Linked DNA regions of Arabidopsis thaliana. The protein of the gene in region 1 interacts with the protein of each later gene in a pairwise test. Each region holds a gene or a part of one and is shown in the gene's direction. Other genes may lie near its edges. The genes, in order: BZO2H3, COL9, RGL3 and BZIP53.

Region 1 (7,308 bases):
CTCTTGTTTAAACATTTGGAAAATTTCCTTAAATTTAAATCTTTGATTTTCTCCCAAATTAAAAATCTAGATTTTTATTAAAGTTTATGCAAGCTCAATGTCCACATGGCCGGCCCCATTTCATCTGCGGATAAAACTGGTCTTAAACTAATTGAACTATTTGTTTTTTGATCTGGACCAAAACCCGCCTATTTGTATTTGGACTGAGCAACCCCATGGGTGATTGCCCAATCGACAGCTTTAATCGTATGTGTTCAAACTCCATTTCCTTACTTCACATATAAGTTTAGTCTTTATATGTTGGCGAAACTCTTAACTTAAAAACCACAATTTTTAGTAAGCTTTTGTACTCTCTCTGCTAAGAATTTCAAATTCTTTCTATTTTAGTATTTAGTTATTTACAACTCCAAAATATTAACAAACAAATTGAGCGAAATTGACTATAACATTATGTTATAAACCACAGCCACACAAAAAAATATGAATATTAGTACTCAATATTATTTAAGCAATCCAAACATTGCTGTCCAAGAAAATGTGGTCCGAATGATATTCAAATATTTGTTCGTTAGAAACATGAACAAAATATAAATATTTCATGTGGCTATTGAGCCTTGTTGCTAAAAAATGGGGCCATATATCCCAAATGTATGAGCCAACACGTTTCATTAGGCCCACTAATTGATCCCACCGGCCTAGCTGCATGCATATCTTTTTTTTTTGGCAATGTTCTATTTTCCAAATCTTTCAGCATTATACGGAAAAAGAAAAACAAACCAACGAATAAATAACCCATACACGACACGAAAAAAATCCACAAAAAAATGTAGAAATAGTTTCTTGAACAGATAAACCTACTCTTTTGAAAGTAAGACAACAAAAAAAAAAATCTGATAATCAGGGGTGTTCCAGTTTTACCATCGACAAACTTTTTCAAAGTAAATGTATCCACTGTCTGTCCTAATCTAAAGCTGAACAATTAAGGGTTTTAAGCCTCAAAATATATATTTCATTTTGAAAGCACCAAAACTATAAATTTCTTGTAGGACAGTGATTTTTCCGGGTTTTTTTGTTTCTCATGTTATAGGTTTAAGTCTCCAATGCATCATTTTGCTATATTTTAAATATTTATAGGCAAAAAATATTTTGGGTTTTAGGACCAACTCTGAGTGTAGCCGTTGAATAGTCCATTCATCGGATTTTTAATAAACCTTAAACATGACACCAGGTCAAAATAAGAATGATTTAGAAATTGATTCATAACCTAACCTACATAATAATTCTTCCTAAAATAAGACAAAATGTCACACGAAATTATACAGTTTGAGATTTTTCTAAACCACTTTAACATAGAAAAGTCTACAAAATTCTACTAATGGTGTAATAGAGACGTACTTTGATAAAACGTAAATCATTCTTTCAAATAGAGTTGAACTACTGATATTCTCAAAGTCAAACCACCAACATCCACTTGGTTTGCAAGTGTTATGTTTCTCTCTCACTAGATATTCTCTTGATAAAAGGTTTTGCACAAGTGTACTAATATATGCAAAAATAAAGGACCCACCAAAATATGCAACTTGAATTTGGATAGATTCTTATCCAAAAATCAGAAGTTTAGTACATTTCTCTAATCTAACTTCACTTACAAAACTATATATTATGTTCCTCTCGGATCTCTCCTTTCCTTTGTAAAATGCAAATGGGAATATTAAATGGACCCATGAAATGAAGTTACGTTACAAAACCGACGACAACTATAATATTTATTATTTATATATTCTTGTGATGCAGATCAAAATTTAAATTGACTAAAATACCCCTTGCCACGTCAGTCTGACTTGGATTTGCCCCAAAAAGCGTTGAAAAAAATATTATTAAATCCAATAAGGCATAAACAAATATTATTACATGTATATTTTAAATATTACTTTAAGCTCCTCATATTCTTCTGTTTTTATCAATTATACACCAACATTTGTTGTTTATAAATATGAACCCCTAATCGTCCCCTTTCAAACGTGGAATATAAGATCGATATATATTACACATTTGAGTAAACAATTAGGCAATGAAGTTTGTGAAGGAGACTGCATTTCTGATAATCTTAATAATTTTTGTTTTCTTAATAATATTATTTATTTTTTTTATAAAATGGTCTGAAAAATTACAATCATTACATCGTTTCTAACGGTTTTTTCTTTCTTAAAGAATCGTTTTTAAATTTAAAATTTTCGATTATTTTTGATTTTTACCGCTAATCTTGGAATTTATCTTGAGTGCTCAAGAGTGAGTAAAATCCCTTACCTCGAAAAATCCCTTTATGGTAGAGGACGTTGGTGATAGTAACAATTTTTTCTCGTAGCTCGGTCATTGTGTCGGCCATTGTGAGATCGAAGAAAGATATTGAGATAAGGTGGGTTAAGCAGTAGATTCTCCGTTTTCCATTGTCCACTAGGATACAATTTTCTTTTTTGACTCTGATCAGTTTTTTCTATTTTAATTTGTGTATCTTAATATTATTATTCGTTGTAACTGTAGGCGAATCTCACCTTTTTTAAAAACATGTTTTAAGAAAGAAAAAAAAAAGTTTGACACTTTAATTATTTTTTCCATTCTATATATCTTATAAACTAAAAATTGTTCTAAAAAGTAGAAAAATTAGTATAACTAAAACCATATTTCCAGATACTTTTTTCCTTTTATTTATTATTAGTTCTGTTGTTAATAAAAATCGTTATAATTTTTTGTATTATGACCTGTCGTTTTTTAAGATACTACAAGAAAACAGTGACCTAACAGAATAAATCAAAAGTTTTTGCTGTAAATAGAAATACACGACTCTTGTCGGGGCCATTAGGGTAATAATCAGACAATTAAATATCTAACAAAACAACAAAACTTGAAAAGAACATATTATTAAAATGCAAGACTGCCCAATCGGATAAGAAGAAACTGTTTTGACAATTTGAAACCAAAAAAAAATAAATAAAACTAAAGAAACAAACAAATTACAAAAGAGAAAAGATGGAAAAAGTTTTCTCCGACGAAGAAATCTCCGGTAACCATCACTGGTCGGTTAATGGAATGACGTCGTTGAATCGCAGTGCTTCCGAATGGGCATTCAATCGTTTCATACAAGAATCCTCCGCCGCTGCAGACGACGGAGAATCTACGACGGCGTGTGGTGTTTCCGTCTCCTCTCCTCCTAATGTTCCTGTAGATTCAGAGGAATACAGAGCATTTCTCAAGAGTAAACTTAATCTTGCTTGTGCTGCTGTCGCCATGAAAAGGGTACTCACTACTCTGCTCAAGTTTGAGTTTTTTTTTTTTTCATAGAAAAAGAAAAACAAAACCTTTTTATCTGTTAGTTTGATGAGTTCACTTGAAGCTAAGAAACTAATCTTGTTTTGTTATGTTTGAGTGTTAAGATCTTATTGGACCTTTTGTATATGATTTGCCATTATCTTCCTTGAGATTATAATTTGCATTAGTTAATTGATTTTGTGGTGTTAATATTGAAAATTTGATAGGGAACTTTCATCAAACCTCAGGATACTTCTGGTAGATCTGACAATGGTGGAGCCAATGAATCAGAACAAGCCTCTCTTGCTTCTTCCAAAGGTTTTACAATACATCTATGATAAGCCTTTTAAGATGTTATTGATAGTTGTTGTGTTTGTTTTCAAGATTTCTTGTAAATGCTAATGGACCAATCTGTATGCAGCTACACCAATGATGAGCAGTGCTATAACAAGTGGATCTGAGCTCTCTGGTGATGAAGAAGAAGCTGATGGTGAAACTAATATGAACCCTACTAATGTTAAACGCGTTAAAAGGTAACAAATTTACATCCTTTCTTGGACTTGAACATGAACATGAACGTGAATTTGTTTGTTATAGGATGCTCTCTAATAGAGAATCAGCTAGACGGTCCAGAAGAAGAAAGCAAGCACACTTGAGTGAGCTAGAGACACAAGTATGTTACTCTCGCAGCGTTCTTATTCTTTCTCCTTTAACTTTGTTTAGCTCACTTGTGCGACAATCTCCATTTCGTGTAGGTTTCACAGCTTCGTGTAGAGAATTCAAAACTCATGAAGGGTCTCACTGATGTAACTCAAACATTCAATGATGCATCTGTAGAAAACAGAGTTTTAAAAGCCAATATTGAGACACTACGAGCAAAGGTAAAATACTTTCTTTTATCTCTCTGTCTACCAAAACTCGCTATTGAAGCATGTTTGTTTTTGGCAGGTGAAAATGGCTGAAGAGACAGTGAAGAGACTCACTGGCTTTAACCCAATGTTCCACAATATGCCTCAGATTGTTTCAACTGTCTCTCTTCCTTCAGAGACATCAAATTCTCCAGACACTACAAGCAGCCAAGTGACTACACCAGAGATCATTAGCTCGGGGAACAAAGGCAAGGCCTTGATAGGGTGCAAGATGAACAGAACAGCTTCGATGCGTAGAGTTGAGAGCTTGGAACATCTGCAGAAACGTATTCGAAGCGTTGGGGATCAGTAGCTGTTAAAGAAGAATCTTGATTTGTAACATTAATCTTAAGACATATGTTAAGACAAAATGTTGTATGTTTTTGTAAAGAATTGTTTTTTCAGATTATTTAAATTTTTTTTTGTCTTCTTCGTTGATTGTTTGTGTTGAACTTCTAATTTTCATTGTACATGTCTTTTGTTAAATTTACAAAGTTTTTCTAATTTCTGTTAAGAATTACAAGTTTTATCAATTTCACCTAGTGAAACTATTGAAATGGTGATGAGGCAACGATGCAAACGTATAATTTTGGTTATTGAAACTAGAAATTACGAGTTTAATCCCAAATTTCGGCTCTTAGAATCGGGTTTCTATCAATAATTTTTGTTTAAATCCGAATTAGATTATAAATATATATATAAATAAAATAACTATAATTAAACCTTATTAATTTATATTTTTTTTCAAAGTAACCTTTAAATTATGATTTAAGATATTCAATTATGTTCGTTTTTTCGTATCGATTATTTTGATTTGGTTCAGATCGGATAAAACATCTCTAATAAGAATTAATATGCTCTTTTGTAGAATTAATATTCATGAAATATTTAGAAATTTTGTATATTATATAAAATTTAGGAGTACTTTTGACGTATTTTTTTTTGTCGACAATTTCTTTGATTACTAACCCAAAAGGGCAAATTATAAGAGAAGTATAGGTGAAATTTGTGGATCCAAAACCCCATGATATAAGTCCAAACTAAACCCATACAATAATACATCAAATTAAGACTAGGTTTAAAATGAGACACGTGTTAGCCACGTCCCACGTGTTATTGCACAAAGGAGTGGTGGAAAACAACCGACTTGCCACCAAAAATGGAAAAATCCGGTCAGATTCAAAAGAATTTCAGTGAGGAAAATCACCATTTTCAGCACTTGATTCCAACAGATTTCAGCTTCTTACTCCGTATTTCACCAGATCCATTTGCAGCGTTTTTGAAAAGGTAGAAAACCGATGTCCTTGAATCTTCAAATCTATTAAACTCTGGAATCCGCGAGAAGATGAGATGTCAAATTAGTCGCTATACGTCGCTTTGCTAATTTGGTCTCAACCAGACACGAAATCCAACTTTCACGATTCACAAGCTCAAAGAGAAACCAACATCCAAAGCCGATTAGATGTCCACTAAACGGTATGAGGATTTACTCTCCTCAGAAACGAGATCAAGCAGATGAATATTCAGAATCTTGGAATTACCCCTCAGATTTTGCCTCTAACGACATCTGCAAAAGGAAAGGAGAAGAAAAAACTAAAAAGAAATAGCCACAAATGCTAACAAAAGCTCGCAACAAACCGAACTTTGCCGGAAACCAAAAAAAGTAATTTTGATGTATTTTGTTTTTGTTTTTTCATCTTAAACTACTGTTTTAAAGAATAAAATACTGTAGTTTTCATCTATTAGAATTTAGAAGGGATACACATGCGCTAGAGATGGCCAACCTCTCTCTTTCTTCTCTCTCTAATACTTTTTAGAGAGAGGGAGGTTCTTCAAGTCATCACCATCCAGCTTAGTTTGCTGGATTTTGTGATCGGCCGAAGTTTGGTATCATCGTCAGTTTAGCCGTTAACACAACTTTTCCGTTGTCTTGTTTTTACCGTCAACATGACTTTTTCCATTGTTGTGTTCTTGCCGTCCGCTTCCATGCGAAATCTCCGATAGCTTTCTCTAGTGGTTCAATGGTTTCACTAGTTTTCCGACGGATTCTCGAGGTGCTCACCATCGTTCTGGTTATCGTCATCCTACGAACAAGATGTAGACATGTGGCTTTCCTCCTTCAATGGGTTATCTTTTTTTGTTTGGGTTGAAGTGTTTGATGACACGTGTACTTAAGAATACTTGCTTTATGTTCTGGCTCGTAATGTTTATATTTTTTTTTTATCAATCTTTTAATTATAAAGTTCAAGTTTCATCCTACTGATAAAGCTTTCAGTTTATTAGAAAATATGAACCTCTTCCAGGTCTACCTTGTGCGTGATGTTGCAACTCTTTTTGGATGCCACTATGGCTTTATCCGGTTTTACTTTGGCAACACGGTGGTATACTTCCACTGCTTGGTTGCTTTCACTGCCTTTTTGGATACTTTGTACTACTAAATCTGTTATAGTTGAAGATGGGGAACAAGATGCAACCATAAAGTAAGCAGATGATGGATGCGATAGGACCAATTGCAAGCTTGAAGCTTCAATGTTTGGTCTTATTGAGTTTTGCTATGGATTTACTATTACCAAGTTACCATTTTCCTGTTACACTTTAGTTTGTAATATATTTATGGTTATCAGTTTGTACATTTTGTTGTAACTCACTCTTGCCTCTCCACCTCGGTTTATCCAATGTTGGATGTTGCAATATGATTGTATATATTTACTAAAAGTTTGGAAAAAAAAATTAGAAGAGATTTGAAACCTGTCGAGGACAATTCTATTTAGCCACCAAAAGTGAAAAAACGTTCTGGTGTACCCCTAGTTATTCAGAGTGCCACTCAAGGGTGTGCAATTACCCTTAGATGAGTAATTGAGAATAAACGATTTGTAAAAAAAAAAAAACGGTTAATTCCTATCCATCGCTTCGCGTCTCCTTCTTCTGAGTTCTCCGGTTCCTTATTTTCTCCGATTTCGTCGGCGACTTGAGCTCTGATTTCGCCGGCGACTTGAGCTCCGATTTCACCGGCGAGTTAGCTTCTAGGCTCGCCGTAGCTTCCAATCCGATAATCTGCTCTCAAAGTTAGCTTCCTCCTCACCGGCAAAAGTAA
Region 2 (8,244 bases), on another chromosome or scaffold:
TGACAAATAACAAGAAATCAGAATTTTGGAAGGATTAAACAATAATCGCTTCTTGTGCAATAAGCCAAAAACAGGATTAAACAGATTCGCTCAGTTCTCAAAACGATGAAAGTAGCGGAGAAGATTGTTTTCCTCTGGAATGATTCCGATGGATTTGCTGCAACCATTTCTGATACTTTAAACCCTAGCCCTAGTTCCCCTCTTCGCAAACTGTAAACTCGACTCGTCCTTTCTCGATTTCCGCCTTTTACTTACTATCTCCGCCTAACATTGTAATTCCTGCAGAGAAGAACAGATCCAGCTTCCGTTGGATAAGTATGGCGTTGAAGGTGTGGAAACCGGCGGGAGTATCGTTCATTTCGTAGATGAAAATGAAGTTTATCAGGTTCCTCCTCTTTAAATCGCGTTTATATTCTATTAATCTTCATAGTTTAATTGAGTTCGTTTCTCGCTTTATTTATAGTCGTTGTTTGTTCTTAGAACTGAAATTTTATTCAGTGATATAGTTAAGCTGAAGAATAGTGGTCTCCTTAATTTGTACAAGATTGATTACTTTCTGATTAGTCGACTCTGTTTACCTGCAAAATGTGATATGATGATTGGATTCTTAAGGATGTGCAACTGTTACTATGATTTGTCTTCATTAAATTGTATTTGCCGAAACTAAAGCCTTATGAGAAAAAAAACTAAGTCTCTATATATGCTTAAGTTAGAGTGCTTAGAGGTGTTGACTTGGCTAGTGAAAAAGCAATAACAAATGCCTTTTCTTCAGTCTGTCAGCTAAATGGAACCTAACTTATGATATTGGACTGTCTTCTAAGCTTGGTCAGATTTTGGCCCTTGATGATAATATTATCCCCAAATTGGTTATCTTGCAACTTGCAAGACTTGATATCATGTTTTCTTGTTTCTCTGTTGAATGTGTATTTCTGGACTATGATTTCATTGCTTAACTTTCGGACTATTTCTTATATTGTTTAAGGTCTCGATTTTTCTTCTTCGAAGTTATGAGCCTCCAGTACTAGTGTGTGCTATGAATGAACTGCTGGACCTAATTACAAGGGGATCGTCAACTCTACCCACAATCATAGCTCCTTTCTTTGTGGCGGCATCTAAGCTCAAGTTCAATAACAGATCCCTGGAAGCAAATAACAGAAAAGCTAGTCTTCATTACGTTCAAGTTGCTACAGAAACAGAGACCAGTAGGTTATTTGCTTCTCGCATCGAGAAACCACCACTATCGATGCAGATCCATTATGAACCTTTGTCATGCTTGCTTCATCTAGCTCGTGTTAAACGCCTGCCTACCGCTATTCTCATAGGCCAAAGAAGCAATAGCCTAACTCATAAAGCTCTAGACGAAGAGCTTCAGGTAATTTTACTTAGTAATTTTGTCTCAGTTTATGCTTGTTTTTCGCTGGTTGATTTCAGCTGAATAACGAGTTTGTGTTGTTGTTGTCATCACAGGTGATCCATGAAACAGGGGAGCTCGTGGCTAGTTGGACAGGACTGTCTTTCTCAAGAGACAGAATCAAGTGGAGCGCATCAAAGACATCAAAAGAAGAAGAAAGTCCGTGGCGTGCTCTTTATGGCTAATCTTCACAGGTCAGGTCTTTTTCATGGCCCAACACTGCTACAGTCTTTGCTTGGACCTGCAGTAAATTTCCCTATTGTAGTAGTACCCTTTTGTTAAAATTCTTATGCTCAGCAGAACCAAATCCACGTCACTCTGCTTTTTCTAGGATATTTATTTATGAAAGAAACAGTTTCTTTTTTTTTGGGCTGACTTGGTTCAACCAAATCTTAAACTCTCAGAAGCATTTTGATTTAAAGGTACATATATTTGGTCAACTCATGGGAGGATCATAACATAGGAGTGGGATTACTTAATATAATACAAATGATTAGAGTTATGATTGGTGGGAGAGGCATAAAAAAAGAGAGATTAAAATTGGTGTGAAGTCCATAAAAGGCACTCATGAAGTATAGTAATAGAGATAGTTAATGTTATCTTAAGAGAAAATAAGTGAGGTGTCGTCAGCTCTGCTAACTGCTAAGCCGGTTGTTTAATAATAGGATATTGATGAAGAAGAAGGAATACGATGTTTTGTACCAAAGTTTTTCGGATCGTCCGAGAATCTTATCCTACTGACATTTCAGCATCATATGTTATTTTTTTTGTTTGTTGTTTTTATATATCTTGTTCGATCTTTTTAGTGCGTCTTATCGTCGCCTTTTCGCTTTCATTATCATTTGATTAGATGACTACTATTCACTTATTTGCCAGGCAGATTTGTTAATATTTTAACCAATTAGGGTCTTTGATCATTCGTCTTTGATTGGATACATACGAGTCTGGATAAAGAGCAATTCATTTTGATGTTTTCTTAATTGAGAACGAAACACAATATTAACTCACCATTAACTAATACTATATTATATGAGTTTAAAAATTAACACTTGCTCAATTTCAAAAACAATAGTTTTCTGATTAACAATGCATCATTTCAATTCGACTTCTCATCTTGTAATTATAAACTTTGAACTGAAGTTATGATCAATTATTTAGTGGTACTAAATCGTATATTCAATAGGAACTTAAATTGTAAACATGTGAAAACAGTCAGACACTTAAAAAAATGGAGGTGGGGTTTCATCCAAGACTTAACCATCATTCTTTCATATTTGGTCTATCATGTTTTGCTTTTTTATATTACTCAATTTAATAAATCGATATCGAGTACCCAAGAAATCGAAATAAAGAAATGGGTTTAAGTAAACCGGTGAACAATATTAATATGAGGAAAGAAAAAGGACAAAAGAGAGATCTATCATATTGATTTCATTATTTTTCAGCGACTTTATGATTATTATTTTTATGAAGAATATTGGGGCAAAGGCTAGTAGTACGTAGACGTAGTGTGAAATATCTTTCTGGTCTGAAAGAGTTATACAGACGTATCTAACTTGGCAGATATTTTTTGGTTTTCATTCAGTTCTCTCTCCCCTCAATGATAAATATCATTAATTTATTTTATTTGTTCTACCAAAAGAAGATATTTTTGTTATATACGCCCACCGAAAAATGAAGAAGAAGAAGATATTTTTGGCTTTTGTAAGGTCAAAGCAAACAGATTTATCAATTATTATTATTATTATCTGAGACTGAGAGAGAGAGAGAGAGGGAGATTTTCTGAATTCTGATTCGTCGAAAAGCATCAAAAAAGTGAACGCTTGAGAATCCATTATGGCACAAACTAGCCACTTGGTAACTTCCACGTCGCGAGTAGATTATCTTCAATACTCGCATGCGCGTGAGTAAAAAACATACAACCTTTTTTTCTTTTCTTTCTAATAGTAATATCTTTAAGAAATATCCATAAAAATTTTATTGCTTTCACTATAAATACGAGAGGGACCCACAATACCCTACACGAACTTTTTTGCACTTTTTCGTCTTTTTAATTAATAAAAAAAAGAAAGAGAAGGAAGGAAATTAGGCACTTTTGATAAATCAGATTATGTCAGAAGCGCCTACATGTCCCTTTGCGGACACACCCACCCATTGTCTATCCATTCATTTTTTTTTTTCATTTCTTCCTCCAGAGAGAGAGAGAGAAGCCACAACAAGAAGAAGAAGAAGAAGAAGAAGAAGAAGAAGTTCTGGAATAGTCATCATCTTCTCTGTTTCTAGGCTTTGTTTATTTGTCTCTAAAGTTTCTGGATTCAACTTCTGAAGAAGATAGTAGTAGTCCACAAGAAGGATCTTCTTTACGTGAGTTGTTTGTTTCTCTTCTCCCTCTGTCTTTTCTTTTCTGATTTTAATAATCCCAAGTGTGTTCTTATTTTCTTGCTATCTGTTGTATAATTGGTGTTAGTGATTGATTATTCATTGTATATCGATGAAGGGTTGGTTTTGATTTTTGTTGAATTGGATCTTTTGATTTGGGGTTTTAAAACTTGTTCGGATGATGATGATTGGGATTGATCCAAAAGTTTTCGTTATTTATTGGAAATTCAGATTTTTTCGATTCAGTTCCATTTGAACTAGTAAGTCAAACAAAATCTCTAGATTTACTGATCTGGGGTTTATACTTTGAAGCTTGAGTTGTTGTTGTTTTATTAATTTATTTCGATTTTCAGTAATATCCATTTGTAGGTTTTGGTCTCTGACTCTTGTTTATAATAAAAGCTCTGTATTGAGTAAAATCTCATGAAAGTAGGTTTCCTTTCCCTTTTTTATCCTTCTCCTTTGGTTATTAATCTCCTACAACCTTTTTTTAGAAATTACTACCTATATTCAGAAAGATTCCATCTATTTCTTCTTCAAGGCTTGCTTTTTTGAACCAAAAGTCTCTCTCTTTTTCATCTAATAATTTGTTTACTTTTTTGGACAGCAGAAAGTTGATTTGGTCAGAGCCAAGGAAGATGGGTTACATGTGTGACTTCTGTGGTGAACAAAGATCTATGGTGTACTGTCGATCCGATGCAGCTTGTTTGTGTCTCTCCTGTGACCGGAGTGTTCATTCCGCTAATGCATTGTCCAAACGACATTCTCGGACACTTGTCTGCGAGAGATGCAATGCTCAGCCTGCTACTGTCAGGTGTGTTGAAGAAAGGGTTTCACTCTGTCAAAACTGTGACTGGTCTGGCCACAACAACAGCAACAACAACAATTCTTCGTCTTCTTCTACTTCGCCGCAGCAGCATAAGAGGCAAACCATAAGTTGCTATTCGGGTTGCCCTTCCAGCTCAGAACTCGCTTCCATTTGGTCTTTCTGTTTGGACTTAGCTGGACAATCTATTTGTGAACAAGAACTGGGTATGATGAATATAGACGATGATGGTCCTACCGACAAGAAAACTTGTAATGAGGATAAGAAAGATGTCTTGGTTGGATCCTCTTCAATTCCTGAAACCAGTTCTGTACCACAAGGAAAATCATCTTCTGCTAAGGTAACTTTTTTTCTCAATATGTTATTACTTTTGCATCCATGGATATACATATCTATCATTTCTTTACTAAATTCAGAGTTGTTGTTTGTTTTGGTTTAAAGGATGTTGGAATGTGTGAAGATGACTTCTACGGGAACCTTGGTATGGATGAAGTTGACATGGCACTTGAGAACTATGAAGAACTCTTTGGTACCGCCTTTAACCCCTCTGAAGAGCTATTCGGGCATGGTGGAATCGATAGCCTTTTCCATAAGCACCAAACAGCTCCAGAGGTTTTTATCCATTACCCTTTCTTCTTAGATTTATCAAATTGGATGCATCTCTGTGTGATTCTAATAATGCTCTCTTGTTTTTGCTCAATCCAGGGAGGGAATTCGGTGCAGCCAGCAGGCAGTAATGATTCGTTCATGAGTTCGAAAACTGAGCCAATAATTTGCTTCGCATCGAAGCCAGCACATTCGAACATATCCTTCTCTGGAGTCACTGGAGAAAGTAGTGCTGGAGATTTCCAAGAATGTGGTGCATCATCTTCCATACAGCTCTCGGGGGAGCCACCATGGTATCCTCCAACATTACAGGATAACAATGCCTGCTCACATTCAGTAACCCGTAATAACGCAGTTATGCGTTACAAGGAGAAGAAGAAGGCTCGCAAGTAAGTAGTAGTCTGAAACTGCAAATACATGAGCATCATTGAAGTGAGTGCAGGATTTTCCTAATGTGACTCTGGCTTCTTTTTTCTGGAAACAGGTTTGATAAGAGAGTGAGGTATGCTTCCCGCAAAGCAAGAGCTGATGTGAGACGGCGTGTAAAGGGGCGATTTGTCAAAGCTGGTGAAGCTTATGATTACGACCCTCTCACCCCAACCAGAAGTTATTGAAGACTCCTTTTGAAAGGTACATAGATATATATACATGGCGAAGAATCGAACAAGAAAGGTTTTGACTTATGGGCAGTTTCAAGTGAGCAACTTGGAAAATTGTGGGTTAGTAACAAAACAAGACTACTGTAGCATGAACAGATTTCAAGACTGACTCTTGTAAGCAATCATTCATTCTTGGGATTCAATCGTTTTTTTTGGCCTCAGAAGCTTCATTCTTGACCAGAGGGATTATTCTCTGACTTTCCTTGTCCAAACTCCGGTTTCTTCTTCTTCTTCTTCAGGCGTCTCACACTGATCAGGGTTCCATGAATTTTGTTCTTCTCTTGGTAGTTAAAAAGGCAGGGAAGGAGATTTAGAGTAATTTAAACAATATGTGATTGTTGTATATGCCTTTGTATTTGTTTGTATACTCATAAATGTTTTTCTGTTTTGTACTCGGCATTCTTGTAAATTAAAGACATTATCCACATTCTTCTATAGACAAAGAAAGTTATGTGGTACCACTTAACCTAAGTCTCGTTCTGTAACAACCGACTAGTACTAGTTCAAGTTTAACGAGATTTTGGTTTGTAGTAACTTCAAGAGGTTGATCCAACAATGAGGCAATGCAAAACATCTGAACTTTATTATTTAAATGTCAGATTATAAAGGGGAGTCCATTTATGTGAGTTTAGGCGCTTTATCGCTGTTTACTTAAACTTAGCTTCTACTATGTCAATTTTGAACACTTATCAAAAGTGATTGAGATGCAAAACAGTAGTTTTCAAGATGACATATGGACCAAAAGTTTTTAACATTTATATTTGGAGTATTTCGGATTTTACAACTTAATGTGAATTTTCTTGAAGACTCATATTCACAAGCCTTAATTTTCGAATTGAGGAATAAACATTCAGAGAAAGTTGATTCGCGAGCAAGAAATTTGTCCAATTTGATTGCTGACTCGGATTTGAAAACATTGACCAAAGGCTAAGAAAAGAAGGAAGAGAGGAAGAGTCTTCAGATACAGACTCAGGTAGCAAAGTTCTTGTCTTAGCTCAGAAACTTAAAAAGAGAGCTAAAAAAGACCTCTTAAAAGCTAAGAAAGAAAAAAATTTGCTAAATCAAAAGAAAAAAAAAAAGATATAGAAAACACCAAAACACTGGTTTCATACAATACCTTTCCCTACCCTTATGATCATTCTCTCTGTAAATCTCCTTCATGCTTAAGCCTTCAACTTCATAGCTTCATCTCTTTGGTAATTTGTTAGATGGCACACACACACACACGCAAGTCAACAAAAACCCGCACCCATATATCTTTCCTGATTTCTCTGGAATTTGAAACTTGTTGAATCTTCAAAATCTTTTTCTCCTTTATACTTCCTGTTTCAGTAATTACTTGGCCAATTCATCTGTGTTTGCTGAGGCTGTTGGAAAACGTTAGGCGCAGGTGCAACCATTTCAGCTCCAGCCACACCTTGAGACTGTTGTAAAAGCGGATGATGGACTCCTGTTGCTGTTACTGCTTGTCCCGGATGGTACATACCTGGGAATGCGACGTGACCAGCTTGTGCTGGAGCATAAGTCACGTGTTGCCCATGGTGCTGTAAACCATAGAAAGAGCTTGGCACATCTCGTCCTGGTCCAGTAATCCATACAGGTAATGCTTCACTCTGCAGAGACCCCACAATTATAAATTAATCAGGAAAGGGAACTAAACTTTCAACTGAGTTGGTTTTGGGAGGGAGAGGGAATATGTACCTGTTGCCCTGTTGTACTGTAGCCGTTGTTTTCTTTCAACTGCAATGAGTTGAGATCCTCATTGGAAGTCGAATTCCCGGCCGATGCAGCAGAGGTGGGATTATATCCTGCTGGGAAAGACCCATATGTTGGTCCATACCCACCAGTAATACCGACATGAGTCATGTTTCCTGTATTAGTCCCAGGCTTGTAATGAGGGAGTGTGTATTTGCCTCCTGTTGCAGTTCCAGGAGGTGGAGGATATACACCGCTTGCCTGAGGTTGCTGAGCATATGCACCATTGCTTAAGTATTGGTGCATTGTAGGGGGAGGTAAATAGAATGGGGAGAAGTATCCATATGGCACGTAGTTTGGTGGATAATGCGACATATGTAAGCCCGGAGGGCGGAAAACAGGAACAGGCTGCTGCGTGACAGGTATAGAGCTCTGCATTAGTCCAGCAGCTTGAGTTACCAGTGGTGGTGGACTAGCAGTAGACAGGACCAAGTTATTTCCACCCTACAAATCAACATGTTCAAGCATTTCAGACCAGAAAAGTAATAATAACAGCTATATTTTTATCTTTCAAACGTGTTATAGGGCTTCTGAACATATAAATATGCAGTCCAATTAGAAACCATAGGTTTACTTCAATTTTATCAAGAAGAAAAAATGAGACTTAG
Region 3 (7,624 bases), 5.0 Mb from region 1:
TGATGAATACCTGTGTGCGGTGGTTGAATGACGGAGAGCCTACGGAGATAAGTATAGTTATGAACATTATGCCAATTCGCATCTAACATACCGTAAGCTTCAACTACACCACGTTTGCCTTCGCGGAAATAATAAACTCCCGTAACCGCCCAAACCGCCCAATCCAAATCTTTCTCGGCCGCCCATGCCAACATACAATTCATGTACCTAATGGTATACGGTTGATAAAAGTACTTTAAGCTTTGATTGGTAAGCAAATATCTAAATGTAATTATAAAGGAAAGCCTTGGTCGAGAACCTGTTTCCTTCAAGATCGCCACCTCTTTGATCGGTCCCAAACTCGCTCAAGAACAAAGGAAAGCCTTGGTCGAGAACAAAACCGCCGGTACGACGCTCCTTAGAGAACATTTGGCTGCAAAAGTCGTTGACATTGTGTGACTTCCATTGACCAGTACCGTCAGTGAAAGAATACCAATGAAGCTCCAAGACAAGTTTTTTCTTGAAGCTAAGATTCACTGGACGATCTTTTAAGAAACTTAGGTCAGCATCGAAGTTAAGCCCTGAGAGTATGACCAGTACGTTAGGGTTTGATGTATGCACTGCTTCTGCTCCTTTTTGCATGTACCTACATGTGGAAAAATAATAATCATTTTTTCTATTTAAAAAAAGGTTAGAATCAAGTTAATTTATTATTTATATGCGTTGATTCTTGTTGTTAAATTGATGGACATTGGATTCCTATATTAACCAATATAAATATATATTTTTTAATGTACTTGTACTTAACTATTATTGTGGATTTAATTATGTATAGCACAACGGAATATAATCTGTTAAGATCTAAAATAGACAGATAATTAACGTGTATTAATTTCCTTGGCCTTCAAGCTTCACATGGGCGTTATGATAAATAAATGAAAATGGAATTTATAAATACGTACTTGTACCAATCTTTTGATGTATGATTGTAGCCTCTAAGTTCATTCCTCAGGCTCATACCAACAACGTTTTTCACGTTCATAAATATTGTGGCCATCTTCTTAAGACCCAACATCCATAGATCCGGGTTGAATTTTGGGTCGCCAAAGAACGCGTCCGGGTCATCGTTGCTACAACACCACCCCGGTACGGTCTTGTGGTTGTCAAGTATCACCATCACATCATGCCTCCCAAGACTATACACCACAGCCTACACAAACATGTTGCCTTGCGTTAGAAGATATCATATAGTAAAAACAAGAAGCATGTGAAATATATTTTTTTCATTACAACGATGATCAGATCTGAAAAGAAATGGAAAAATAATCATTATTGCAATATAAGATAAAACATGTTTTAGTCATATTTTTCAGTCACAAATGACTTATTTAAAAACCATGGATTTTTAATTGAACATGAAAAGAATAGTTTTTGTTTGAGTTGAAGAAATTATGTAATACTAGAATCACATGATTAATTATGTATTTATACCTGAAAGACATTGATGAGAGGAGTATTGACAATGTATGGATTGTGAGTGTAAATCCCTTGAAGCTCATGATCCAATCCATATCTCTCAAATGATTGTTTCACGGTAACATTAAAGGCTAAAGTGTCATTAATCATTAATTCAAGTGGCCAAGTGAGCCTAACACAATTGAATCCCATGTCTTTTATCTTTTTCGATATTGAATCCATTGGCTGGCTGCTCAGCCCCTCTGCTACCACTGGCTTGAGGTGCGAAGGCCAGTTCGCGCAAGCTAGCTTCACGCGGTGGCCCTTGTTGTTTACGATCCATCGAGACTTTGTGAATAGTGGATAATCTGTTGCTAGGGTTAGAGATATTAATGACAAGAATAAGAACAAAAAGACAGTTAAAGCGATTGCTTTTGCCATGCTTATTTCGTTGTGACTGTGTTTTAGGAAGATCATTAAGTATATATAGAGAGTGAAATCAAGGGTTTTTGTCACAATGATAGGGGATTTGTTGAGTTTCTTTTGTAAGATAATTGACTAAATATTTCAGGGTTGGTTACTTAGTTTGATGATAGGTTTCAAAATGTAAATAAATGAGATATTTACGGAACATTGTGGATAAATATCTTCTTACCACACGTTTTGGATAGTGTAGTTTTTTTTATTGTTCGAATAATTAAGAGGATAATTAGTCAATGGATCATCCGCCTAAAATGTCGAGAAAGTAACTTGGGTAACATTTCAAAACGTATCCGGCCATTAAATAGTCTCGTCATTTATTTGTTTCCCTCAAAATTGCCAATATATCAACGAACGAAGGGTAATATACTAATATATTTAGCTTGTGTATTCATTCGCTAAGTCATATAAAATTACTCGAAACTTTATTTTATACAGGATTATACATTATTTTCACAAAACGGAAAATAATAAGCCATTTGTACTTAGACCAACAAACTAATTCAAGAGTGAAATCTATTTTTATGTTCAGTTCTACTCTATTATAAAAATCTTCTATATATGTAACTATCATGTTTAAAATGATGTTTTTGGTATGGGGAATAAAATTCAATTTACACACATAAAGAAATGAAAACATAATAATAATAAGAAAGCAACGTAATGTTGTAGACGTCTGATACCTAATGTCGACTGCCGCCACATGTCGACCGTGAGGTTGGTCACGTTGTCTCCCTAACTGCAATACTTTGAGCTGTACTTCTATCGGGACCTCTATTTTCTTCTCAAACTTTTTTAAAAATTAGTATTATTTTATACCATTTCGGCAAACAAATTATTAGGAGATAGTATCATTTAAAAAAATAAATATCAAATTTTGTCAGTAAAATTATTACAGTATGTCACGTTAACTAGTTAAAATTTTGTTATAGAAACAAGATACTTGAAGAAAACGGGCTGTTACTTTCGGAGTTTACAAGTTCCATTTCTCGAGAAGAACTATTTGGGTTATCAATATAGGTCATATGATATGACTAATATCTACTGCAGCACCCAATTTAATAATTCTAGAAACTCTAAATTCAACATTTAGTGGGTATTAAAAAATAGTTTAATAGACTATGACAGTCCATTGGACCATTAAACAAAAACTACACGCCCTTATCAGAGCGACGAATTTTTTGTAACTTGGATCAGAAATTCAATAAAGTTATAGTAATAAAAATGAAATAATTTGGAAAAGAAAGAATAGAGAAGAAAACACATGCGAAATTATAATGGCCTGCCTCTCTTCCTTCTTATCTCTTTTACTTACACTCTCCAGGTCCCTCACTTCCCTCATTGGACCTCTCTAACTCTCCTCTCTTACCTTCTCCTGTTTAAATTCTTCTCCTTTCTTTCCACAATTTCTGTCTAACCAATTCCAACACCAAAAAATTCCATTTCTTGACGATGAAACGAAGCCATCAAGAAACGTCTGTAGAAGAAGAAGCTCCTTCAATGGTGGAGAAGTTAGAAAATGGTTGTGGTGGTGGTGGAGACGATAACATGGACGAGTTTCTTGCTGTTTTGGGTTACAAGGTTCGATCTTCAGACATGGCAGATGTTGCACAGAAGCTTGAACAGCTTGAAATGGTCTTGTCCAATGATATTGCCTCTTCTAGTAATGCCTTCAATGACACCGTTCATTACAATCCTTCTGATCTCTCCGGTTGGGCTCAGAGCATGCTCTCGGATCTTAATTACTACCCGGATCTTGACCCGAACCGGATTTGCGATCTGAGACCAATCACAGACGACGATGAGTGTTGCAGTAGCAATAGTAACAGCAACAAGAGGATTCGACTCGGTCCTTGGTGTGACTCAGTGACCAGCGAGTCAACTCGTTCCGTGGTGCTTATCGAGGAGACAGGAGTTAGACTCGTTCAGGCGCTAGTGGCCTGCGCCGAGGCGGTTCAGCTGGAGAATCTGAGCCTCGCGGATGCTCTCGTCAAGCGCGTGGGATTACTCGCGGCTTCTCAAGCCGGAGCCATGGGGAAAGTCGCTACCTACTTCGCCGAAGCCCTAGCTCGTCGAATTTACCGGATTCATCCTTCCGCCGCCGCCATTGATCCTTCCTTCGAAGAGATTCTTCAGATGAACTTCTACGACTCGTGTCCCTACCTGAAATTCGCTCATTTCACGGCCAATCAGGCGATTCTAGAAGCTGTTACGACGTCGCGTGTCGTACACGTAATCGATCTAGGGCTTAATCAAGGTATGCAATGGCCGGCGTTAATGCAAGCCTTAGCTCTCCGACCCGGTGGTCCACCGTCGTTTCGTCTCACCGGCGTTGGGAATCCGTCGAATCGAGAAGGGATTCAAGAGTTAGGTTGGAAGCTAGCTCAGCTGGCTCAAGCCATCGGCGTCGAATTCAAATTCAATGGTCTAACGACGGAGAGGTTATCCGATTTAGAACCGGATATGTTCGAGACCCGAACCGAATCGGAGACTCTAGTGGTTAATTCGGTTTTCGAGCTTCACCCGGTTTTATCCCAACCCGGTTCGATCGAAAAGCTGTTAGCGACGGTTAAGGCGGTTAAACCGGGTCTCGTAACAGTGGTGGAACAAGAAGCGAACCATAACGGTGACGTTTTCTTAGACCGGTTTAACGAAGCGCTTCACTATTACTCGAGCTTGTTCGACTCGCTCGAAGATGGTGTTGTGATACCGAGTCAAGACCGAGTCATGTCGGAGGTTTACTTAGGGAGACAGATATTGAACTTGGTGGCGACGGAAGGAAGCGATAGGATCGAGCGACACGAGACGCTGGCTCAGTGGCGAAAACGTATGGGATCCGCCGGGTTTGACCCGGTTAACCTCGGATCAGACGCGTTTAAGCAAGCGAGTTTGCTATTGGCGTTATCTGGCGGTGGAGATGGATACAGAGTGGAGGAGAACGACGGAAGCCTAATGCTTGCGTGGCAAACGAAACCTCTAATCGCTGCATCGGCGTGGAAACTAGCGGCGGAGTTGCGGCGGTAGATACGTCGTCATAAAGAGGAGAAGAAAAAAGACTTAGCGAACGTGACCTTATGTTTTTATTTTACTTTAACTTACCCCAGTAGTTTCGTTTTGTGACAATTTCGCCCGAAATATTCCGTGCCTTATACTTTTGGGACCCAGTTGGTTCGTTGGTCGTGGAGATTCGAGAACGAGGAACATGTGTGTATGTAACAACAGCACGAGCAAGTGTTTTCATAGTTTGAATAAATATGAAAGAAATGACGTTTATTTTATTTTTTGTCAACGAATTGACGTTACGTTTAATTTCACCCAAAATATATACAAAATGACGCATGAATGAATTTGGACCGACTCGATTATTACATAGAGGCTAACGTTTCTGGGAGATGATGATGATGATAGAAGTAAAGAAGCTAAACCTCACTTGAGTCTTTTTATTCTGAAAAGCCGGAGTCCAAACTCTACTTTTGGGTTTTTTGAGAGGTTTTCATTGTCAGCTTTTGATCAAGTGGGTGAAACCGTTTTGCTTAGGAATGTGTAAAAGAAAACTTGATATTTACTACTAATTTTATCACCACTTTTGAAAAATACATGTATTCATAGAAAGATATGATAAAGTTGGACCACATTCTCATTCTCTAAACTCACTTTAAACATGGCAATGTTTAAATATCCTCAAGTCTTGGAACATCTTCAGACTTACCATTTCTTGATTTTACCCGTAACAACACTTCAATATCTGAGTAGTCAAGACTAAACAATCCGAACAATATCAGCTTTTGATTTTATATAAATATAACTATATAAGACTTCCTAACAAAGAGGAACATGAGTCCCACAGCCACAGCATGTCGTAATCGATGGATGAGACGGCTGTGTAGGCATAGTTATTGGTTTCTCCGGCTAAGTCCTAACATGGACTTAGGAGAAAGTTTGAGGTGAGACCGAGAGGATAGGCGGAGAGGTTTACGTTAAAGAGAATGCATCCGCAATATATTTACTTTTTAAGTAATTCTAAAAATGTAGTTACTTTATTTTATATCAATGATTTAAAATGTATATGCGAGAAGCCTAAACCAAATAATGAACTTTAAGGAACAAAACAAATTATGAATGTTTTGGTTCTCTTCACTGTTAAAGCCATTTTTATATCTTTTTAAAACAAAACATTCGTTGTTGTGGTGTTCAACAAACCAAAACAAAACAAACTAGCCCCCTTTTCAAGAATGATCCACTCACATCACATTACATGGAATTAGGATACAATCATATAAATTAAAACTCACCAAGTGTAAAAACAACAAAAATAAGAATTGACGATGCTTAGAACCAAATCTCTCAATATATATAAAAAAATTCAAACATTTCAAAAGTAAAAGTATGGCAAAAAAAATTAGAAAATTTTGGCAACATCCTTCATAAGTCCACGATTGGCACCTGCAAAATCAGTGAATTCTTGATACGATATGTTTCCATCACCATCAGTATCAATTTCAGCCATCATACGTTTGACGTCATCAGCTGTTACCGAACCAAGTGTCTTAAGAGCTTCTTCGAGTTCGGCTGCTGAAATTTTTCCGTCACCATTAGCATCAAATTTCTTGAAAATACGGTCGTGCTCGGCTTTCTCCGTTGCATCAGCCATAATGTCTTGGTGAATATGTGGTTGTGTGCGCGTTTTTATAAGATGAAAACAATCTTTCTTTTTATTGGTGGAGGAATAAGGAAAAATCAAATTATATAAATCTTTGAGTGGAATGAACAGTTGAGGTTGTGCTTTTACTTAGGAACTTTTGGAGGAATGTTTAAACAACAATTGAACGAAATTGGTCCAAGTTAAAACCTAAACTTAGCAAAATTAGGATGTGACTTGGTCTTGAACAAAATTTAGATTCAAGTAGCTAATGGATTTATTCCATTATCGAATTTAAATCTTAATCTATGGTTCTGTCTCTGTTTATAATACTTACAAATCATTTCTTAAAAATATTTATTTCTTACCATCTCAAACTTTCATTAAGATTGGCTGGCCATTAACTAGACCAAGAAAATTTCCACTATTTACCTCTATCTTTTGTGTATAAATATCTAAATATTTTATTATTTTATATATTTTAAAACTACATTAATTAAATACACTTAGATGTTTTAAGAAAATAAGAAACTGAATTTACAAAGTAGTGGAATCATTATAATACTTTGATGTATTCATTAAAATGTAGCTAAAATCTGTAAACTATACAAAATAAATTTGATAAGACAAGAAAAATATGAAAAGTATTCTTTTGGAGATTTAGATCAATATCTATAAAATGTACCTTTGATAAACACAATATATCTTTTTAACTGTACTAAATATTTACATTATATTTACAAAATTTATTGTTGACAAAATAAGCACATCTACATCTATTTAAAGATAATAAGTAACAAAATCTATTAATTAACCAAAATCACTGCATTTCTTTTAATCATCCAGACCAAAAATGCTAAAGGAGATCTAGTCACACAAGTCTTACATTGTTTCAGAGTTAACAAGTGTCTTGTGAGTTATTACCACATACCCATTGTGAGAACTTAGAAGATTTTGTACATTACTTCAGTTTTTATCGTCTCGGCATGTGCTATATATGTTTCTTTTAAGAAGAAAATTTATGGATTTGATTATCAGAGAAAAAAAGGATATCTTACTTTTGTTTTTTGT
Region 4 (6,923 bases), on another chromosome or scaffold:
CCAAATAATTCAAAAATCTAAACAATTCAACCCCACACTAAACCGAAATTTGGAGTGGCGGACTACAGGTGGCGCAAAATGATTGGCTCAAAAACGAAAAGGTTTTGTTTTTGTATCCGAGTATATAAAAAATGAGCAAAATTAATAGATAATAAAAATTCAAATTTCTTTCCTCTGCTCTCAAGAAAATGCTACGGCTCCGCTCTACTTCTTCGTCCATTTCTCATTGAAGATTCAATTTCGCTTCAGAAATCTCTCAAATTGATCGGATTGAGTGTCTCGTCTACCCCAATTTCTGCAAATTACGCTTCGGTTTTCTTGGTTCTGCATAAACGCGATTGCGATGATTTCTAGGTTTCTGCTTCATGCCTACATGTGAAGTAAGCTCGTCTTAGCCTTTGAAATTGATCTAGTTTGGGAATTTTGGTTGATGTTGAAGTCAAGTCACTGAAGGTTCCATTAGAAATTGAGGTTTTTCTGGGTAGTGAAAAGAGGGTTCTTTAGGGTTTGAGAAAAGAATGGATAGAATCAGTAATTTACCAGATGGTGTTATCTATCGCGTGATCTCCTTACTTTCGACAAAAGAAGCTACTTGCTTGAAGTATACCTCCAAGAACTGGCTGAATCTGGTTACCATCATACCGATTGCTGTTTTCGTTGATTCCTCGGCGTCTGCCATTAGTGCAAGTTTCAAAGATTTCGCTGATCGAATAATGTTAGCTCGACTTGCCAGTCACCGTATTAGGAGATTCTCTCTAAAGTTGCAGTCTTTGAATTTTGCTCAGTATAAAACTGTCAATGATTGTTTACGCAATGTGTTGGAGTGTGGAGTCTTGGATCTTGAACTGGACATCAATGTCAGAGGAGATTACTCACTGCCTTCTGAGATCTTCACTTGCAAGAGCGTTGTGAAAATGAAACTAGGGTCTGGTTTTGTTATTGACATTCTCCCTAAGAATGCTTGGCTTCCTGCTCTTAAGACTCTCCTTCTTGATACAGTTCGGTTCGAATTCGATAACACTGCTGGTTGTTCGTTTACAAAGCTTATTTCTGCTTGCCCTGTGCTCGAGGAGTTAGTCATAGATGGCCACAACTGTGAAGATTGGAAATGGTCTCGCAGAGTATCTAGTCAGATCCTTAAGCGACTTACTATTCGGCGTAAAGAATGGGTTCATGATGGCTCTAGTTTTGAGCCTATCAGTTTGGATATTCCTAGTCTTGAATACTTTAAATACTTTGATACTCTCCGAGATAGCTATCCAGTTGTTAAGCTCAACTCCCTTGTGGAAGCTAAGCTAGAACTTCCTTCTCTTTATATTGGGGATACCTACAATGTTAGGAATCTGATCAAGGGGTTGAAAAATGTTCAGATTCTGCGCTTAGGAGCTGTTGACACGATGCACGTAAGTGCTCTCCACTGAGATATTAAAATAAAAAATCTTTCTATACATTAGAATGTTTATTGAAGTTATGACTGACTAGTTTTTTTTTTTTTTTCAATTCTGTTCCAGCTGTTTTGGGTCTTCAGGGAAGCAGTCCCAGTGTTTGAGAACCTGTTTCATTTATCAGTTAGTACTCATGACGCTATCTGTTGGGATGATCTGCGTATTCTTCTTGAAAAATCTCCAAATCTAAAGACTCTCACCATTGAGGTGACCAAAAACCCCAAAAGTTCATTGGACAAACAAAAGAATTGAAACTCACAAAATCTTCAATCTCAAAATTCCGGTCTTTTTGCAGGCTTTGCATTATCATGGCTATGGGGATGAAAACTCTGTTTGCGAATGCTTGGATGGGTATTCTTTCCTTTTGTCCTGCCCTATTGAGATCCTAAAGATAACTGAGTTCGGTGGAGAGATTGAAGAAATGGAGCAAGTAGAGTATGTCTTGGAGAATTTGCTGTGTCTGGTGCTGTTGGAAATTCATGTTAAGACAAAGAAGATTGACAGAAAGCTGCAGATCTTGGCGGATCTCCTAATGCTTCCGAGAGCTTCATCCAAATGCAAAGTCCAGGTCAAGTTTGTTTGAACAAACAAGTGTTTGTTGCCTCAACATGAGAACTGTTGGAGAAATGGTGCAAATAAAGCACATGTTAGAGAAATTGCCAAGTCTTGAGCTTTTGGAAGTTCAGCTTAAGCCAATAATAAGAGCTGACACAAAGATTCAGATCATGTTGGATCTCCTAATGCTACCGAGAAATTCATCTAAATGCAAACTTCGTATCAAGCCCTCTTGAACAAAATCTTAACATATCCCATTTATTGACATGAGAGAACTGAGTTTGTTTTTGTATCACACTCTTAAATCTTTGCATAAGCTCAGAATCTAGTTTGTGAAGATTGTGAGAGAAGTAATCTTAAAAAGATCAAACTTTTGTTGACATAAGCTTGGCGTTTTTCTTATCTCTAACTGGATTTTTCGAGTGTGTAAGGGAGAGCTAAGCCCATCAGCTGAATTAAGGCTATTATAAAGCCCACGAGCCAACTTCCCAACTCAGTCTTGTGTTTTGTAATTTAAAATCGTGTCAATAAAATGATGTAATCGTCACGTCATCATTTAAGTTTTAACCAAAGAGAGCCGCATATAAACAACAATCTGGTAGACTTTCGTTATAGTTAATGGTCGTTTTATAATTACGCTTATGAATTGTGTGTTAGACGTTGCTTTCGTGAGGAAATTTTCAAATTCAGAAATATATAATATTCAGTTAATTAACACTTGGCAATAATATTTGATATTTTCTGAGGAGGCATCTTGGTGGAATATTCCATCCGTGAACAGACGGAGAAACTTCCCTCAACAAAACGTGCTTCCCTTATAAAATTCCAGCTGGCGGCGTCACAGCTGGCGTCAGTTTCCCCCAGTTGCGTTTTAAAAAAAAACAAAATAAAAAGATTTATGACCAAAAGTTAATTATCTTCCTTTATTAAAATATTGTAAAAATAAAGAAAAAGGCTTAGGACAGCTCATCACCATCTTCTCCTTTAAAAGGATAAGCTTGGTGTTACTTTATCGCCTTCTTTCGTTTGGCCTTTGATCCTATCATAAGCTTTTTTTCGTTTATCAATCTTCTCGATTCAGCCACAATTCTTGTTTCTCAGATAATTCATCTCCTTTCTTTGATTCGTTTCCTTCTCTTCTGTCACTCAGATCTAGATCTAGATCTAGGTTTTTTTCTTTCTCATCGGAAATTTGGCTTAGAGGCTTGTTTTGATCTAGGGTTTGGTTTTTGGGAATTTTGAAAAAAAAACAAAATTAGGAATGAATCTATGAGCTACTCAATCCTGTTTCGTCGGATTCGAATTCTACACTCTTTCTCCGTCGTTTACCTCTACTACACCTACGTTTTCTCATGAAGTAATCGTTCTCGATCTCAGTTTTCGTTTTTGATCTAACTTATTCTTTGATAGATTTAGAAATCGGGGATTTTCAGATTGTGTTTTTGAGAGGTTTTTATAGGAAAATATCTCTAGAAGAAGAAGAATAATATTATATTGATTTTAATTTTGGTGAGAAGAAGTCAAAAAGTCAACGAGAAATGGGGTCGTTGCAAATGCAAACAAGTCCTGAATCCGATAATGATCCGAGGTACGCCACGGTGACGGATGAGAGGAAGAGGAAGAGAATGATCTCTAACAGAGAATCTGCTCGGAGGTCAAGGATGAGGAAACAGAAGCAACTTGGTGATTTGATCAACGAAGTCACTCTTCTCAAGAATGATAACGCTAAAATCACTGAGCAGGTTGATGAAGCTTCAAAGAAATACATTGAAATGGAGTCTAAGAACAATGTCTTGAGGGCACAGGCTTCGGAGTTGACGGATAGGTTGAGATCATTGAACTCTGTGCTTGAGATGGTTGAAGAAATTAGTGGTCAGGCTTTGGATATTCCTGAGATTCCTGAATCTATGCAGAACCCTTGGCAGATGCCTTGTCCAATGCAACCAATCAGAGCTTCTGCTGATATGTTTGATTGCTGAAGATGGATGATTCATATCTGAAGGATCAAAAATGAAGCATTGAGTTCGAGTCTTTGGTCTGTTTTACTTACTGTCCTTGTTGTAACAATTAGTGTGTCATTGGTGAATTGAGTCTTGTGTTGTCAATGGACAACGCAATCTTTATGCAATTTCAATTTGTTCGTGTCTTTGTATGGTTTTGTAGCCTCAGTCCTCTAGTCTTGTGTCTCATGTAATTGGTGTCTAATGTGTTTCTTATTGAATTCAAGCTTTCTTATTATTCGCTGCGCATTACCTGTTATGAAATTTTGGCTTTTGTATTCGTTTATGGAACTACAAATTACAAATGTTTTTAGAGCTAATTCAGATTCAAAGACATGATTTATATAACCTGACATTACCAAATGGACCGGAACAAAGATTTGTCGTATACGTATGAATCCGGAACAGGATCTTGATCGCTTCAGTTGTCGTAAGTACGGCACTCGTTGGTCTCAGGATTGTCTTTGCAGTATTCCTCCAAAGGGTCCGAACCATCAGCCTTCTTCTTGTCTCTAGCATGGCTAGCTGCTGCGCTAAGTTCTTCAACCTCGTCCCACGCAGCTACACACTCTCCACTCACAGGATCGCCCGCACAAGTCTCCTGAGCTTCCTTAATGCTTTTCTCCACTACGTCCGATATCCCTCCTTCCGGTGCTGCTTTAATCGGCTGAAGTTTCATCATCCGGTTAGTTGTTCTTGACCCAAGATTCCACGAATTGTTCAAATGGACCGGACCGGCGAGACAAACTGGCCGATTCTCGCTGGTGACGAAGACACGCTGGGTTGCAATGTTAAGACCAGTAGCTATAGTTGCCATCTTTGGATGGAGAAGGTACACGGCAGCCTGTGAATATAGTTTTTGATAAAAGAAGATAGTTCAGATAATTGGGAGGGAACAAGATATATGAAGTGTGCGTGAATTTAATTCTGTGAACCCCATTTCTTATCCTCTATTAACCAACAATTAAGTTCCACGTATTTGATATCGTTTATGAAGCAGTACGATGTTGAAAATTTGCAGCCATCCAAGCCGTTTTCTAAGATACAAGTGCCTGTTGCGTATTTTATCCAAAAAAGATGAGAAAAAATAAGCTGGTAAGTATAATAAAATGATCACACACTGTTTAAGGAAAAGTCAAGACAGATGTCTCAAGTTTCAACCACTGTATCTCCGGAAAACAATGTGTTAACAAATATCCAATTTTGATGTCTGAGTGGTTGTTTATTTCTCAAGCAACCAACTTTCTTAGGTAACTTATCTGAGATCTCAAGAAACCATAAAAACAGAAAAATCGAGCCAACAACATTGAGAGTGAGAGAGAGGCATTCCCATTCACTCTTCAGAGGCGACAACACCGATCTCACCTCTCTCAAGCAAATCATAGAAAGTTCTAGTTTTCCTCTGCTCATTCCAATGGTGCATCTTCCAGAGACCACCAGCAGCTAAACCAAGCGTCAAACCAATAATCAATTCCTTGACAACACTCGGGCCTTTCAATGTGGCATGCGCAACCTTGTGTCCTGCCATTTCTTCTCAACCTAGCACACATTTTAATCATAGAGTCAATACTAACATAATTGATACTTTCACAATGCTCACGATTCCTAAAGCTGAAAACTTTATTGACAACCAATAAAACATCTATACACACACACACACTAATCTACCTGATCTCTTAATTTCTACTGGTTTGCACTTGGAGTCTATATATACACATAAACATGTACAATTTCGATCCATTTTCTGTCTAACCTCTTAACTACGTCTCTATTCAAAGGAAGATATCAAAGGCTTTGAATTTATTCCCAAAATGATACAAGAACCCTAATCCACAGGATCCAGATACTGAAAATAAAATTGGCATTTCTCCCGAAGAAAAGGATTAACGTTTCAAAGCATCACAACACTAAGAGCATCAAATCTAAATCAACGGAAGATTTAAACGAGAAATTCCGATCTTAAGCACACCGATCTACACGGGAAAAAAAACGAGAAATGGATTCGAATCTGATAAAAATTAATCGTAACTTCACAATCCGCCACCTATCTATAACGAAAATCACCACAAAATCATAAAGGAAACAACAATTATCATCAAGGGAAGAATATGGACTTTACCGAGTCAGATTGTGTAGATGAACGAGACAGAAGCTCACGACGAAAACGAAATGGTGGGTGATTGAAGAAGTTGCGTAAGCAGATAATCACTTCTCTACTCCATTTGTGTCTTATTGGGCCTTAAACATGGGCCTGATCTCTTATTTCTTCAATGGGCATTTTATGGAATTTGCTTTTTAAAAAAGTAAACCATTCGCTGCTCGTGTTCCCCGAGTGTGTCCCACCACGTTAATAATGCCAAATCCAATCTGTCAACACACTAAACTAATTTCCTAATCCTGAACTTTTTTAAATAATCATTATCTTTCCCTCTGTTCCGTTAATTATTGTAAAATTCATGAGCTCACGAGTTTGTAAGAACGTCATTATCATTTCTTCACCGAATCTCTCCTCTATACCCCACTAATTCAACCACCTTTGTCGACTCCAAAATTTCAATCCTTTTCTCAAACAGTTCCATTTTTCGATTTCAAATTTCTCTGATTACAGATAATTATGAAACTGTTTTTTCTTAACTAACTTATAACAGTTACAGAGAAAAAATAAATAAAGAGATAGAAGATGGAGAGACAAAGAAGTTTCTCTGTGAAGTCCACAAGAGTCTTAGCATTCATCATCACAATAATCTCTTCCGCCATTGTTTTCTTCACTTTCTTCTCCTCTTCCTTACTCAAATCTAACTCTTCTCTTTACCCAACACCAGAAGCTAACTTCCAGATCGATTTAAGCCCTATTGCCGCCATTTCCGATTCTTCAGTTTCTCCTCAAGCAAGTCCGATTCTGATCTCTACCCATTTCAATTCA

The links.
Region 2: the proteins of BZO2H3 (region 1) and COL9 interact in binary tests that used the Arabidopsis thaliana proteins (3 or more experiments, as listed by UniProt).
Region 3: the proteins of BZO2H3 (region 1) and RGL3 interact in binary tests that used the Arabidopsis thaliana proteins (3 or more experiments, as listed by UniProt).
Region 4: the proteins of BZO2H3 (region 1) and BZIP53 interact in binary tests that used the Arabidopsis thaliana proteins (3 or more experiments, as listed by UniProt).

What each region holds. Positions count from the first base shown.
Region 1 is NC_003076.8:10,793,867-10,801,174, reverse strand, and holds BZO2H3 (bZIP transcription factor family protein), read left to right. Parts: upstream 1-2,869; 5' UTR 2,870-3,027; coding exon 3,028-3,294; intron 3,295-3,533; coding exon 3,534-3,624; intron 3,625-3,727; coding exon 3,728-3,839; intron 3,840-3,903; coding exon 3,904-3,979; coding exon of another isoform or gene 3,980-4,061; coding exon 4,062-4,187; coding exon of another isoform or gene 4,188-4,254; coding exon 4,255-4,527; 3' UTR 4,528-4,718; downstream 4,719-7,308. UniProt on the Arabidopsis thaliana protein: Transcription factor involved in controlling responses to starvation. BZIP2-BZIP63-KIN10 complex binds to the ETFQO promoter to up-regulate its transcription.
Region 2 is NC_003074.8:2,438,066-2,446,309, forward strand, and holds COL9 (CONSTANS-like 9), read left to right. Parts: upstream 1-3,503; 5' UTR 3,504-3,775; intron 3,776-4,397; exon of another isoform or gene 4,398-4,400; 5' UTR 4,401-4,428; coding exon 4,429-4,956; intron 4,957-5,057; coding exon 5,058-5,228; intron 5,229-5,321; coding exon 5,322-5,611; intron 5,612-5,706; coding exon 5,707-5,836; 3' UTR 5,837-6,467; downstream 6,468-8,244. Other genes in the region: AT3G07640 (period circadian protein), read left to right, coding at 106-212, 286-385, 983-1,372, 1,468-1,596; AT3G07660 (flocculation protein (DUF1296)), read right to left, coding at 7,210-7,494, 7,583-8,080.
Region 3 is NC_003076.8:5,761,630-5,769,253, reverse strand, and holds RGL3 (RGA-like protein 3), read left to right. Parts: upstream 1-3,007; 5' UTR 3,008-3,366; coding exon 3,367-4,938; 3' UTR 4,939-5,265; downstream 5,266-7,624. Other genes in the region: AT5G17500 (Glycosyl hydrolase superfamily protein), read right to left, coding at 11-207, 299-625, 942-1,189, 1,471-1,875; PC1 (pollen calcium-binding protein 1), read right to left, coding at 6,314-6,565. UniProt on the Arabidopsis thaliana protein: Probable transcriptional regulator that acts as a repressor of the gibberellin (GA) signaling pathway. No effect of the BOI proteins on its stability.
Region 4 is NC_003074.8:23,088,900-23,095,822, reverse strand, and holds BZIP53 (basic region/leucine zipper motif 53), read left to right. Parts: upstream 1-2,972; 5' UTR 2,973-3,538; coding exon 3,539-3,979; 3' UTR 3,980-4,237; downstream 4,238-6,923. Other genes in the region: AT3G62430 (Protein with RNI-like/FBD-like domain), read left to right, coding at 519-1,403, 1,512-1,652, 1,741-2,028; CP12-2 (CP12 domain-containing protein 2), read right to left, coding at 4,422-4,817; AT3G62400 (cytochrome C oxidase subunit), read right to left, coding at 5,150-5,410; TBL6 (TRICHOME BIREFRINGENCE-LIKE 6), read left to right, coding at 6,681-6,923.